Cricetulus griseus: one gene and its partners. The main gene of each other region encodes a partner of the protein of the gene in region 2 in a complex. Links are inferred from orthologs where the notes say so. Each region holds a gene or a part of one and is shown on either strand. Other genes may lie near its edges. The genes, in order: Tlk2, Asf1a and Cdan1.

The links.
Region 1: the proteins of Asf1a (region 2) and Tlk2 are in contact, whole or in part, in a crystal structure (PDB 7LO0), measured with the Homo sapiens proteins. The link is inferred for Cricetulus griseus from reciprocal best matches to the Homo sapiens genes ASF1A and TLK2. Residues at the interface, in NP_054753.1 of Homo sapiens: Val45, Ala48, Glu49, Glu51, Asp54, Asp88, Val92, Thr93, Val94, Leu96, Arg108, Gly110, Tyr111, Tyr112, Arg145, Thr147, Phe149; in NP_001271262.1 of Homo sapiens: Arg11, Arg12, Gln13, Leu15, Leu16, Glu17, Arg19, Phe20, Thr21, Gly22, Val23.
Region 3: the proteins of Asf1a (region 2) and Cdan1 are in contact, whole or in part, in a cryo-EM structure (PDB 9CVC), measured with the Homo sapiens proteins. The link is inferred for Cricetulus griseus from reciprocal best matches to the Homo sapiens genes ASF1A and CDAN1. Residues at the interface, in NP_054753.1 of Homo sapiens: Gln5, Val6, Asn7, Asn8, Val9, Val10, Val11, Leu12, Asp13, Pro15, Asn20, Pro21, Phe28, Asp37, Val45, Ser47, Ala48, Glu49, Ser50, Glu51, Glu52, Asp54, Asp58, Ser59, Val60, Leu61, Val62, Gly63, Pro64, Val65; in NP_612486.2 of Homo sapiens: Arg195, Arg196, Ile197, Asn198, Thr200, Val202, Lys390, Leu391, His470, Glu471, Glu472, Pro473, Gly474, Trp475, Asp476, Lys538, Arg541, Arg544, Leu545, Gln546, Arg548, Leu549, Met550, Ala551, Pro552, Gln553, Ser554, Ser555, Arg806, Lys807.

The regions. Positions count from the first base shown.
Region 1 is NC_048600.1:118,152,915-118,157,310, forward strand, and holds the start of Tlk2 (serine/threonine-protein kinase tousled-like 2), read left to right. Parts: upstream 1-1,540; 5' UTR 1,541-1,669; intron 1,670-3,736; 5' UTR 3,737-3,738; coding exon 3,739-3,819; intron 3,820-4,396. UniProt on the Homo sapiens protein: Serine/threonine-protein kinase involved in the process of chromatin assembly and probably also DNA replication, transcription, repair, and chromosome segregation. Phosphorylates the chromatin assembly factors ASF1A and ASF1B.
Region 2 is NC_048595.1:255,430,170-255,432,833, reverse strand, and holds the end of Asf1a (histone chaperone ASF1A), read left to right. Parts: intron 1-1,326; coding exon 1,327-1,539; 3' UTR 1,540-2,016; downstream 2,017-2,664. UniProt on the Homo sapiens protein: Histone chaperone that facilitates histone deposition and histone exchange and removal during nucleosome assembly and disassembly.
Region 3 is NC_048599.1:57,757,407-57,759,718, reverse strand, and holds part of Cdan1 (codanin-1), read right to left. Parts: intron 1,583-2,312; coding exon 1,475-1,582; intron 1,390-1,474; coding exon 1,326-1,389; intron 1,194-1,325; coding exon 1,012-1,193; intron 10-1,011; coding exon 1-9. UniProt on the Homo sapiens protein: May act as a negative regulator of ASF1 in chromatin assembly.

The DNA of each region.
Region 1 (4,396 bases), on a different chromosome or scaffold from region 2:
TGAAGGATGGAAAACTGACAAAAAGGAGTTTGCCATCTTTTGCCCATTTGGCAGGTCTTTGTCCAGTCGGTATGTGGAAAAATTAAGAATAAGGAAGAAATACGGAACAGAACTCCACTTTGGAGTACTTGCCAACCCCCGGAAAAGTTCAAGTGGCTGTTCAAACGCCTGAATGTTTCTCTTGTGATCCGCTTGTAGTCCTTCAGTCATGCTCAGATATCTGGTCAAGAAAGCATCAGAGGAAAACAAAAAGCCGCGTAGTTACTTTGAAGTCAGTGTCTTGGCTCATGAGTATAGGTGAAGAAAGTGATTTTTTTTTTCCTTTGGCGTTGGGGTCAGAGGGGGAGCCCTTTCCCATGCAGGAAGCACAGGCGCTCACCCTCTCAGCAGCTTGTCAGCCTGTTTTCCCACTCCGGCATTTACCCTCAGACCCCCGAGCAGCCCCAGGAGGCCCGTTTTGTCACCAGAGGTTGAAATGGAACCTCCCCCTAGGTGCTCTCAGAGAGTGCCCCGGGGGTAGCGCCCTCCGCTCCGGAGGGGGGCATGCTAGTGAGGGCTCGGCTCTGCTCCCAGGACACCTTTGTCCCTGGAGACGCCCGGCCAGTCAGGTACGTGGAAGGCGGATGCGCTCGGCTTCCCGCGCCCGTGGCGTGGGGGCCTGGGGAACCGGACGGTGGCTGCGGACCTCGGGTGGGCACCGCGAACTCCGGGACCCCCCGCGGGCGCCCCTGCTGCTTCCCCTCGGATCCATTCGGGGCAGCAGAGCCAGCCTCACTCCTCACCCACACGTGTGGAGATCGGGGACGGGGCAGGCGCGGCTCCGACGCGGCTCCGCGGCCCAGGCGCCGGCTTCCGGTGCCGTCCACACAAAGGCGGCTCCTGAGGCTCCGGCCCGGCCGCGTACCCGGCGCCCCCAGGCGACCAACCGCCCTCTCACGTCGCAGCCCGGCCGCCAGCGCAGCCTGTCGCCCGCCTCGGTAGCCCCGTCAGGCGCGGCCTGCTCAGCCGGCGCGGGGTCCCCCGGGTAACCCCTGCCCGCCAGCCCGCCGCTGATTGGAGGAGGCGGAGCGCCGGGGGCAGCGGAGACCCCCCCACAACACCTTTCGCGTCCCCTCCCCACGGTCGGCACTCCCCCCCCCTCAGGAACCCCCCCTTGCCTCCCAGCCGTGCAAATCTCGCGAGGAAACACGCGGTTTCACTAGTGTGTTTACACCGATCACTACTAATCCGGACCGAACCGATCCGGATTAAGGGGCCGGAGGCGGGTCCTGGGCACCAGCGGTTCCGACCCCCCCGCCCCCGGCGCCGCACCCGAGTGGCCCCAGCCGGCCGAACCCCCACTTCCCGGCCCGACCCGGGCCCTTCTGCGCCTCCCTTGGCCTTTGTCCGGCGCCAGGAGGCCGGTCCGCGCCCCCCGCGGCCGCCCGGGCCCGGGCCCGCGTCAGGCGCCTGGCTCTGTACGCGAGCTCGGGGATCTGCGGCCTCCGTGGCCCTCCCCCCGCCCGCCCTCTCGTGGAGCCCGGCGCCGGCGGCGGCTGCGGGCGGGGGTTGCGGCGCTCAGGAGAGGCCCCGGCTCCGCCCGGGCCTGCCCAGGGGGAGAGCGGAGCGGTCCGCAGCCGGGTCGGGTCGGGGCCCCTCCGAGAGGAGCGTGGAGCGGCAGCGGCGGCAGGTGAGAAGCCGAGCCCGGGACGGGGCAGGGCAGGGCGCCGGGCCTGGGGTAGTAACCGTCCCGGGGACCCCCGTCGGCCTGAGGAGGCTGCGACCCGGGCCGGCGTCGGGCCGCAGCTCCTTGGCACTGAGGCGGGAGCTGCTCCCTCAGGGCTGCGGATCGCTGAGGGGCCGGGCCGAAGATGGGCCAGGCCCAGGCCTGGCGATGAGGCGGTCGGCCTGCTGAGAGAGGGGACTCCGGGGAGCCGGAGGCCTCGGTGGCCTCCCCGGCGCCCCCGACTCTGCCCCTCGCGCCCTCCGTGACAGGTGGGCCTAGAGTTAGGGAAAGTTTGGAGCCGGCGAGGGGCGCCGCGACCAGGCCCCGGTGGGTCCTGCTTCCCGGTTTGGGGCTTCTGGGAGGATCCCGGTCCAAAGGCTCGCTGGAAAGAGATGGGATGGATATTTTCTTAACGTGAGTTGACATTAAATGGCATAACTGCCGGGGCCTCATTTTCCGGACCAGGCCTGGGGATGGAGGCTTGGGAAACGTTTCCAGAGACCTTGGGACTGGGGAGAGCCTGCAACCTCTGCCATTCCGACCTCGATTAGGGCAGGGCGAGTGGCGAGTGGCGAGCAAGGCCACTTACCCACTTAGGGAAAACTCAGTTTTATTTTCAGCCTCTTTTATTTTAAAGATGCCCTTCTGCCCTTCTACCAATTTCCTAATGCGAGTGAAACTTTAATTTGTCACCCTTTGCCCCAGGCTCTCCATCCAGGAAGGGAAATGAAAGTTAGGACTTGTGGAGGGGATGTTACTGGAAATTGTGGAGTTGTTCGATTGCAGAGAAGGTTTTCAGTGAACTTTAAAAATTTTGCCAGTCGCTCTAGTAACTACTCAGTAGTATGTTCGAGGGTTTCTATGTAATGATGTCTGCTCCTTCCCAGCTTTTAACATTGAAGAGCTTTTCAATGCATGGTGTAAGAGTTTGCTCTTCCAAAGGTTGGACATACTTGCTCATAGTGTCTGCATTAATTGGTCGGGGAAGGAGTTTAAAAATGGTGTCCTCCTGCCCCTCCCTGCCTGGGAGGAGTGCTAAAAGCAGATATCTAGAGTGGAGAGAAACCTACTGCTTCAAGGAGTGGTCAGAAAATGATTTTGTGAAGGAATTGTTGCAGCGTTATATTAATTTCCAGAGTGAATGCAGGTTGACAGTTTATCTTACATTTAACATGAAAGAATTGCAATTTTCATTAGCTAATGTGAGCTATTGGGAGAAAGGAGCTATACAGTGGGGTTTCTTGAAGTTATTTGCAGCTTCTGATTCATTCTATATTCATTTGAAATTATTAACGAATCCTATTTTTAGCTTAAGAACTAGTTCTTAGGTGTTTGGGAAAGGAATATTTGGAAGTACTTAGATGGAAACGTTGATAGGAGTTTTCTGTTTGCAAGTTTGCCCCTGTTTTCCTTCTCTGCTTACTTTTTACAGAGAATGTGGAGAGTTTGCTGTTTCTTTTTATTTTTATAAATAAAAGTTTTTATGAGACAGGGTCACATTGTGCATCCCTGGCCAACCAGGCTGCCTTCAAATTTGTGGATACCTGCTGCTTATAAGGTGGGATTACAAGGGTAGGCTTCCATTCCTGTCCCTCTTCCCGAGTAAAAGATCAAATTAGAATTCAGGAAAAAGGAAAGGCTGTCTCGTAGAAGAGAGCCTGAGCTGCTGTATAACCTGAAATAACTATTGAGAATATCAAATAACTTTGGTCAGAGTGTAACACTGGAGTGTATGGTTTTTTTTTTGGTTTACAAAATTCCTGTGCATTTTCTCTTTCCTTCCTTCCTTCCTTCCTTTCTTCCTTCCTTCTTTTTTTCTTTGGTTTTTCTCTGTAGCTTTGGAACCTGTCCTGGAACTTGCTCTGTAGACCAGGCTGGCCTCAAACTCACAGAGATCCGACTGCCTCTGCCTCCCAAGTGCTGGGATTAAAGGTGTGTCACCACTGCCCGGCTCCTGTGCGATTTCTTATACATAAAACTCTTTCTCCCATTTAGTTTTTCATGGCTTCTTGGCCCTTTTCCTTCCTGTAGAAATGATGGAAGAATTGCATAGCCTGGACCCACGAAGGCAGGAATTATTGGAGGCCAGGTTCACTGGAGTTGGTGTTAGTAAGGTGAGTAACTTGGCGAACATGGACATTTCAAAGTATAACTTAAACACATTTAGGAACTGAATAGAAGGGCTTGGGTGATAGGGCTTGCTGTTGGTTGCAGGGGAAATTGTCTTGTGGACTAGTGAACTTTGAAATCCTGTCATTCCTGTGGAACATTTAAGTGTTAGTTTGGGAGAGTATGTTTCTTTCCCATTTGAGTAACGCAGAGGTTTCCTGAGGGGTTTGTTGCAAGGATGTGGATCTAGATTCTATTTTGTATTTTGTTAAAACTTTTCAGGCACTCAGAAAGCAAGAGGCATTGTAAAGCTTTCACATACTGGGTCTGTTGGGGTAGTTACATGATACAGTGCTGTTGGATCTTCATACACTGGGTCTGTTGGGTTGGTTACATGATACAGTGTTGTTGGATCTGGTGAAGTCTGTCAGTTCTCCAAATGTGCAACTAGTAGATTCCTCCTGGTTGTATCCTTAGTCTGCCTTTTCACACTTTTATTTTTTGTTTTATGTATATGAGTGTTTGCCTACATGTATGTATGTATGTACCCAGTGTGCATGTTTGGTGCTTGCAGAGGCCAGA
Region 2 (2,664 bases):
TGCTATTTCATTCTATAACATGGCCGTAAAGAAATTTGAAGTTTTGTAGTGTTTGAACAAACTAATTGTTCCATTTGCACGGAAGGCCTCAATCCTGTCTCTCCAGGAATTAATGTTCCATGGGTACCCTGAGTCAGATGGTCTAGCTTCCTGCAAAGAGCAGGCCTTCATTGCCGTTAGGTCTTTTATTTCAACCTTGAGGACATGTAATGTCTTATTTTTGTAGTGAAGTGATTATAAAAATATTTTTGCCTATAACTTCCTAAAATCACAGCAAGAAGATAAATGTGGTTTATTGGTCATTTCTTTTGTGATGGTTTTGAGACAGGGCTTTCTGCTGTAACCCAAAGTGGCCCTGAACTATGGCTATGGCATTGTTCCTCAGTTGTCCAGGCTTTCGGATTACAGTTGTCACCATGCCCAATGTGTGCTTATTTCTATTAATATTTAGAATATCTGTATATGTTATCCTGTCTGCTATTATTAGAGCTTAAACTAAAGGTATTAAGTATTTCTGATAATGACAACTTAAATTCTGAGACATCAAAATCTGATTCAGTAGTCTTAAAATCACTTAGTATCTTAGATTTTTTTCAACTGGTAATGGTTACCAGTCTTAGTTACTGTGATTTTTTTTTACTCTGTGTGGTACTCTATGTGGCAGACTTGCCACAGACTAGAGACTTCTGCTTTCTGCTGGTGCAGGTGGGATATCTTCCACAATTTAGAGACATCCTGTTGAGCTAGGATTAGTAGAACCTTTGTATAGCAGAAAACAAAACAAAACAAAACACTAGAATACTGTTTCTAAAAATGAATTTTAATACATTACAGTTAAGATCCCAGTAATTAGAGGTTCTATTTGAGGAAAATTTTCAAGTCTTGTTTTTTGTTTTATTTCTTGGTGCTTATTTGAACCTAGGGACTTAGCCAGAGTACTTTTTTTGCACTATGTTCCCAGCCTGAAAACACATTAGGCTAAAGGCATGCTTATTTAACTAAAAACATCCTTTAAAGGGTGTGCAGAAGTACCTCCCTTCCATTATCCTTTAAGAAGCAGAAATATAAAAGCAAGGTACTTTGTGTGTTGGGGGCGGGGAGGTTGGAAGATCTAGATGGATTTTTTTCTTACCTTGTTTCCAAGGGGGAATAGTTCTTTTGCTATTTGCTATTGTAGTCCTTGCTTATTAGTTAGGTTTAAGTGCTTCACTTGCTGATACATTTGCATATGAATTTAGTCCTTTAAAAGGACTGCCAGAGCCACTCAGTTTGCATATGGTAATCTTAACTTTCCTGGTGCTCATCATTTAAATGTTTCTTTTCTAGCTTCAAAGAAATATTTTGGCATCTAATCCCAGAGTCACAAGATTCCACATTAACTGGGAAGATAACACAGAAAAACTGGAAGATGCAGAGAGCAGTAATCCAAATCTACAGTCCCTTCTTTCAACAGATGCATTACCTTCAGCATCAAAGGGATGGTCCACGTCAGAAAACTCACTGAATGTCATGTTAGAATCCCACATGGACTGCATGTGACCAGGTGCCATCCCAGTAGTACAGATTAAGCTATTAAAAACAGAACTATTTCCCTGAAGTTCCGTAAGTACATAGTCAAGGTGAAATGTGAAGAGAATTTGTTTAAAAACATCCTGTAGAAAGTTTATAAGAAAACCAGTATTTGAGCAAATTGTGGAATATAAATACAACTATTTTTAAGTACTTTCTTTCTCTAATGTGTTATTTTATTTGTTCATGAAACTAATCTGGTTAAAGTATATATATATTATTTTCTTCTTTATATGTAATTAAAGCACTTATAAAAAGAAAACTTATCAATTATTAGACCAGGTTGTGAAGGTGTTTTAGCCTCTTGGACAGTAATACTTTTTACTAGCCTTTAAAAGAACAAAGTTTACTTCAACTAAAATGCTTTTTCCTGTGAAGACAGTGTCCTTTCAATTTAAGGAGCAAACTTCCATACTGTAGTAAAAAGAAAAAAAAAAAGAGAGATGTCTTTAAAAAGGGAATCTGAAATCAACTGTAGCCACCAAGGTTTTTCTAGGCCACCCCAGTGTGTCTTGTGGCTACCACCACAGCTTGTGTTAACACTGGACTTCTGGTTTCTATGTAATAAATGCGGCTACCTTTGAAGTCCTTCTGACTATGGCTTATGCTTCCCTACTTCTAAAACTGAGAAACCATGATCATAAATCATTGTCCAAAGATTTCAACATGGTGAGAATAAACGCAAGGTTTCTAAAGTATAAGATTAGATTATAATGGCTCAGATCTGCTATTCAGTTTATAGAAACTCCGAACATGTGTTTTTGGCACTGTTGCTACAGAAAGGTAATTTAGAAAGGTCTACTTAGCTTTATCCTATTAGGCTGGCTACCTTCAGAAGTATGTCTTAGGTTCACAGCTACAATACCCCATATCCTCTGCTTCTCATTAAAATGATAAGATCAGGGCACATCTGTAGTTGACATATTCTAGACCGATTTCCAGACAGTTGAAGAACAATTTTAGAAAGGAATTTACCAAATAAATGGGCCAAAAGCTTATTTTCTTTGAGAGATAGGTACTTTGTTAAGGTTTGGCTCCATTAAATTTACAGTAGAATATTTTCATTTGACATGTGCTGATGATAAGCAGGATAGC
Region 3 (2,312 bases), on a different chromosome or scaffold from region 2:
CAGGTCCCACTGCAAAATACCAGAGAAGGCCAGAAGTTGTCAAGACCACACAGTAGTCTTAACCGTAGGGACTGAGGACTCAACAGTAGTCCCAAGAGTAGACATATCTCAAAAGACTGAGCTAGGGCTAGAGAGACGGCTCAGCATGCTGTTAAGAGCTCTTGCTACAGCTGGGCAGTGGTATTGAACACCTTTAATCCCAGCACTCTGGAGGCAGAGGCAAGTAGAAGTCAGCCTACAGAGAGGGTTCCAGGACAGCCAGGGTCACACAGAGAAACCCTGTCTCAAAGAAAAAAAAAAAAAAGAAAGAAAGAAAGAAAGAAAGAAAAAACTTGGGATGGGGCACTGGGTAATGTTAAGAACATGACTTTCAGGGATGAAGAGATGGCTTAGTAAAGTGCCTGACGTGCATACATGATGACCTGCATTTGGATCCCTGTTTGTGAATGTCTACCTGTAACCCTAGTGCTGGGGGAGCTAAAGATAGGAAAGTCCTGGAAGCTCAATAGCCAGCTAGTTTAGCCAATCAATGAGTTTCAGGTTCAGCAAGAATAGTGCTCACTAACAAGCACACATGCTAACCCCCCCCCTCACCAACACACACACACACACACACACACCCACACACCCACACCCACACACACACCCACACACCCACCCACCCCACAGAATCAATCCCCTTAACACACAACGTGAGTAGAGGAGCTGGGCATGGTAGCTCACATCTGTAATCAGCACTTGGGAGGTATAGGCAGGAATAATACAGCAAATTTAAGGTCAGCATGAACTACAGTGTAAGAGCCTAGAGAGATGGCTCAGAGGTTAAGAGCACTTGTTGCTCGGCAAGTTCAGTTCTCAGTACTGACATGGTGGCTCATAGCCACCCTAGTTCCAGGGAATCCAACAGGTATGCACATGGTTTACATGCATGAATGATGGCAAAAAACTTCATATATGTATATCTAACCCTCCACCCCCAAAGAAACCAGAAGCCTTGTGCCTCTGACTCACCTCCCTTGGCCGAGTATCTGCTAGAAGCCCCACATTTCTTGGGCTGAGTAGAAGCTGTAGTGGAACTGGCCCCTGGAAGTCATCCTTCCATAAGGAAAGCAGCATGTGCAGAAGCCTTCGAGCCTGTCCTCTCTCTAATTTGTGTTGTGTTGGGGGCCCTAAGATGGGGATCTGGTCTGCAACTACAGAAAGAGAAAGAAGGTAAATTTCAATGGAGGCAGAAGAGCATGACCTGTGCTCCTAACCTTGTTTGTACCCAACCTTGGGGGTTGGAGGAATGTATCATGTGGGATTTGATGGAAAAGGAACCATACCCAGGAGGGAAGCCAACTCCACAGAGCACTTGGCCAGATGCTGCTCAGCAGTTGGGCACAGGAACTATAGGGGGGAAAAGGGGAGTCATGAACATTCTTACTAGCCTGAGGACTGGCCCTGAGCCAACGTGGCTCATGCCACATCTCACCTGGCGGCACCGCAGTGACTGGCCCAGCTGGTTTAGGAGCTGTTCCAGATGCTCTGGGGAAACTCCCTCCTCAGGGTCCCGAGGCCCCGCAGCCAGGGAGAGTACATCCTGTAGAGAGCAGTGTTGAGACCTCATGCCAGGCTGACAGAAACTTGATTTGGGATGGGAACCAGCCAATGGAGAGAGGCAGAAGGAAAACCAAGCCCAAGGGAGTGAAGCAACTGGTGTTCTTAGGGCTGAAGCTCATGCAGGACAGCATAGCTAGGATAACAATTATGTAGACAATCCAGGGGGAAGTAAACGGAGCGATAAGCCTACAGACCGTATACTGCCAGAGAGCCCCAAAGATGTCACTCACCTTGTGACAAAACTACCTAACCAATTCCGAGAGGGCATCTTAAAAACTGTTTTATCTAGAGTCTGAACATCTCTCTCATGCTCTTGTTTATTTTCTCAGACATCTTAAAATAGAAATCCTCTGCATATTGAGAAGTGGTATCTAGCCTGATACCCTTCCCTGTCCCTTCTACAGTCTCCACTGATTGGCACTGCTTTCTAGTCTCTATTCTACAGCTTTATTCCCAGACCACTACTTTGTTTAGAACAGGGCCAGATAGTAATTTAGCCCTTGGAAGTCACAAGGCCTAATAAATATTGCTCCAACTATTCATCTCTCCTTTGGTAGCATAAAGGCAGCCACAGATGTTTATAAACAAATGGATGTGATTGCACTCGATAAAACTTTATTTACAAAAACAAATAATTTTAGACCATGGTTGTTTGCTGACTCTTGCTCTATAGCATCAGCCCCAAACCCCTATACCAAGGGATAATATGT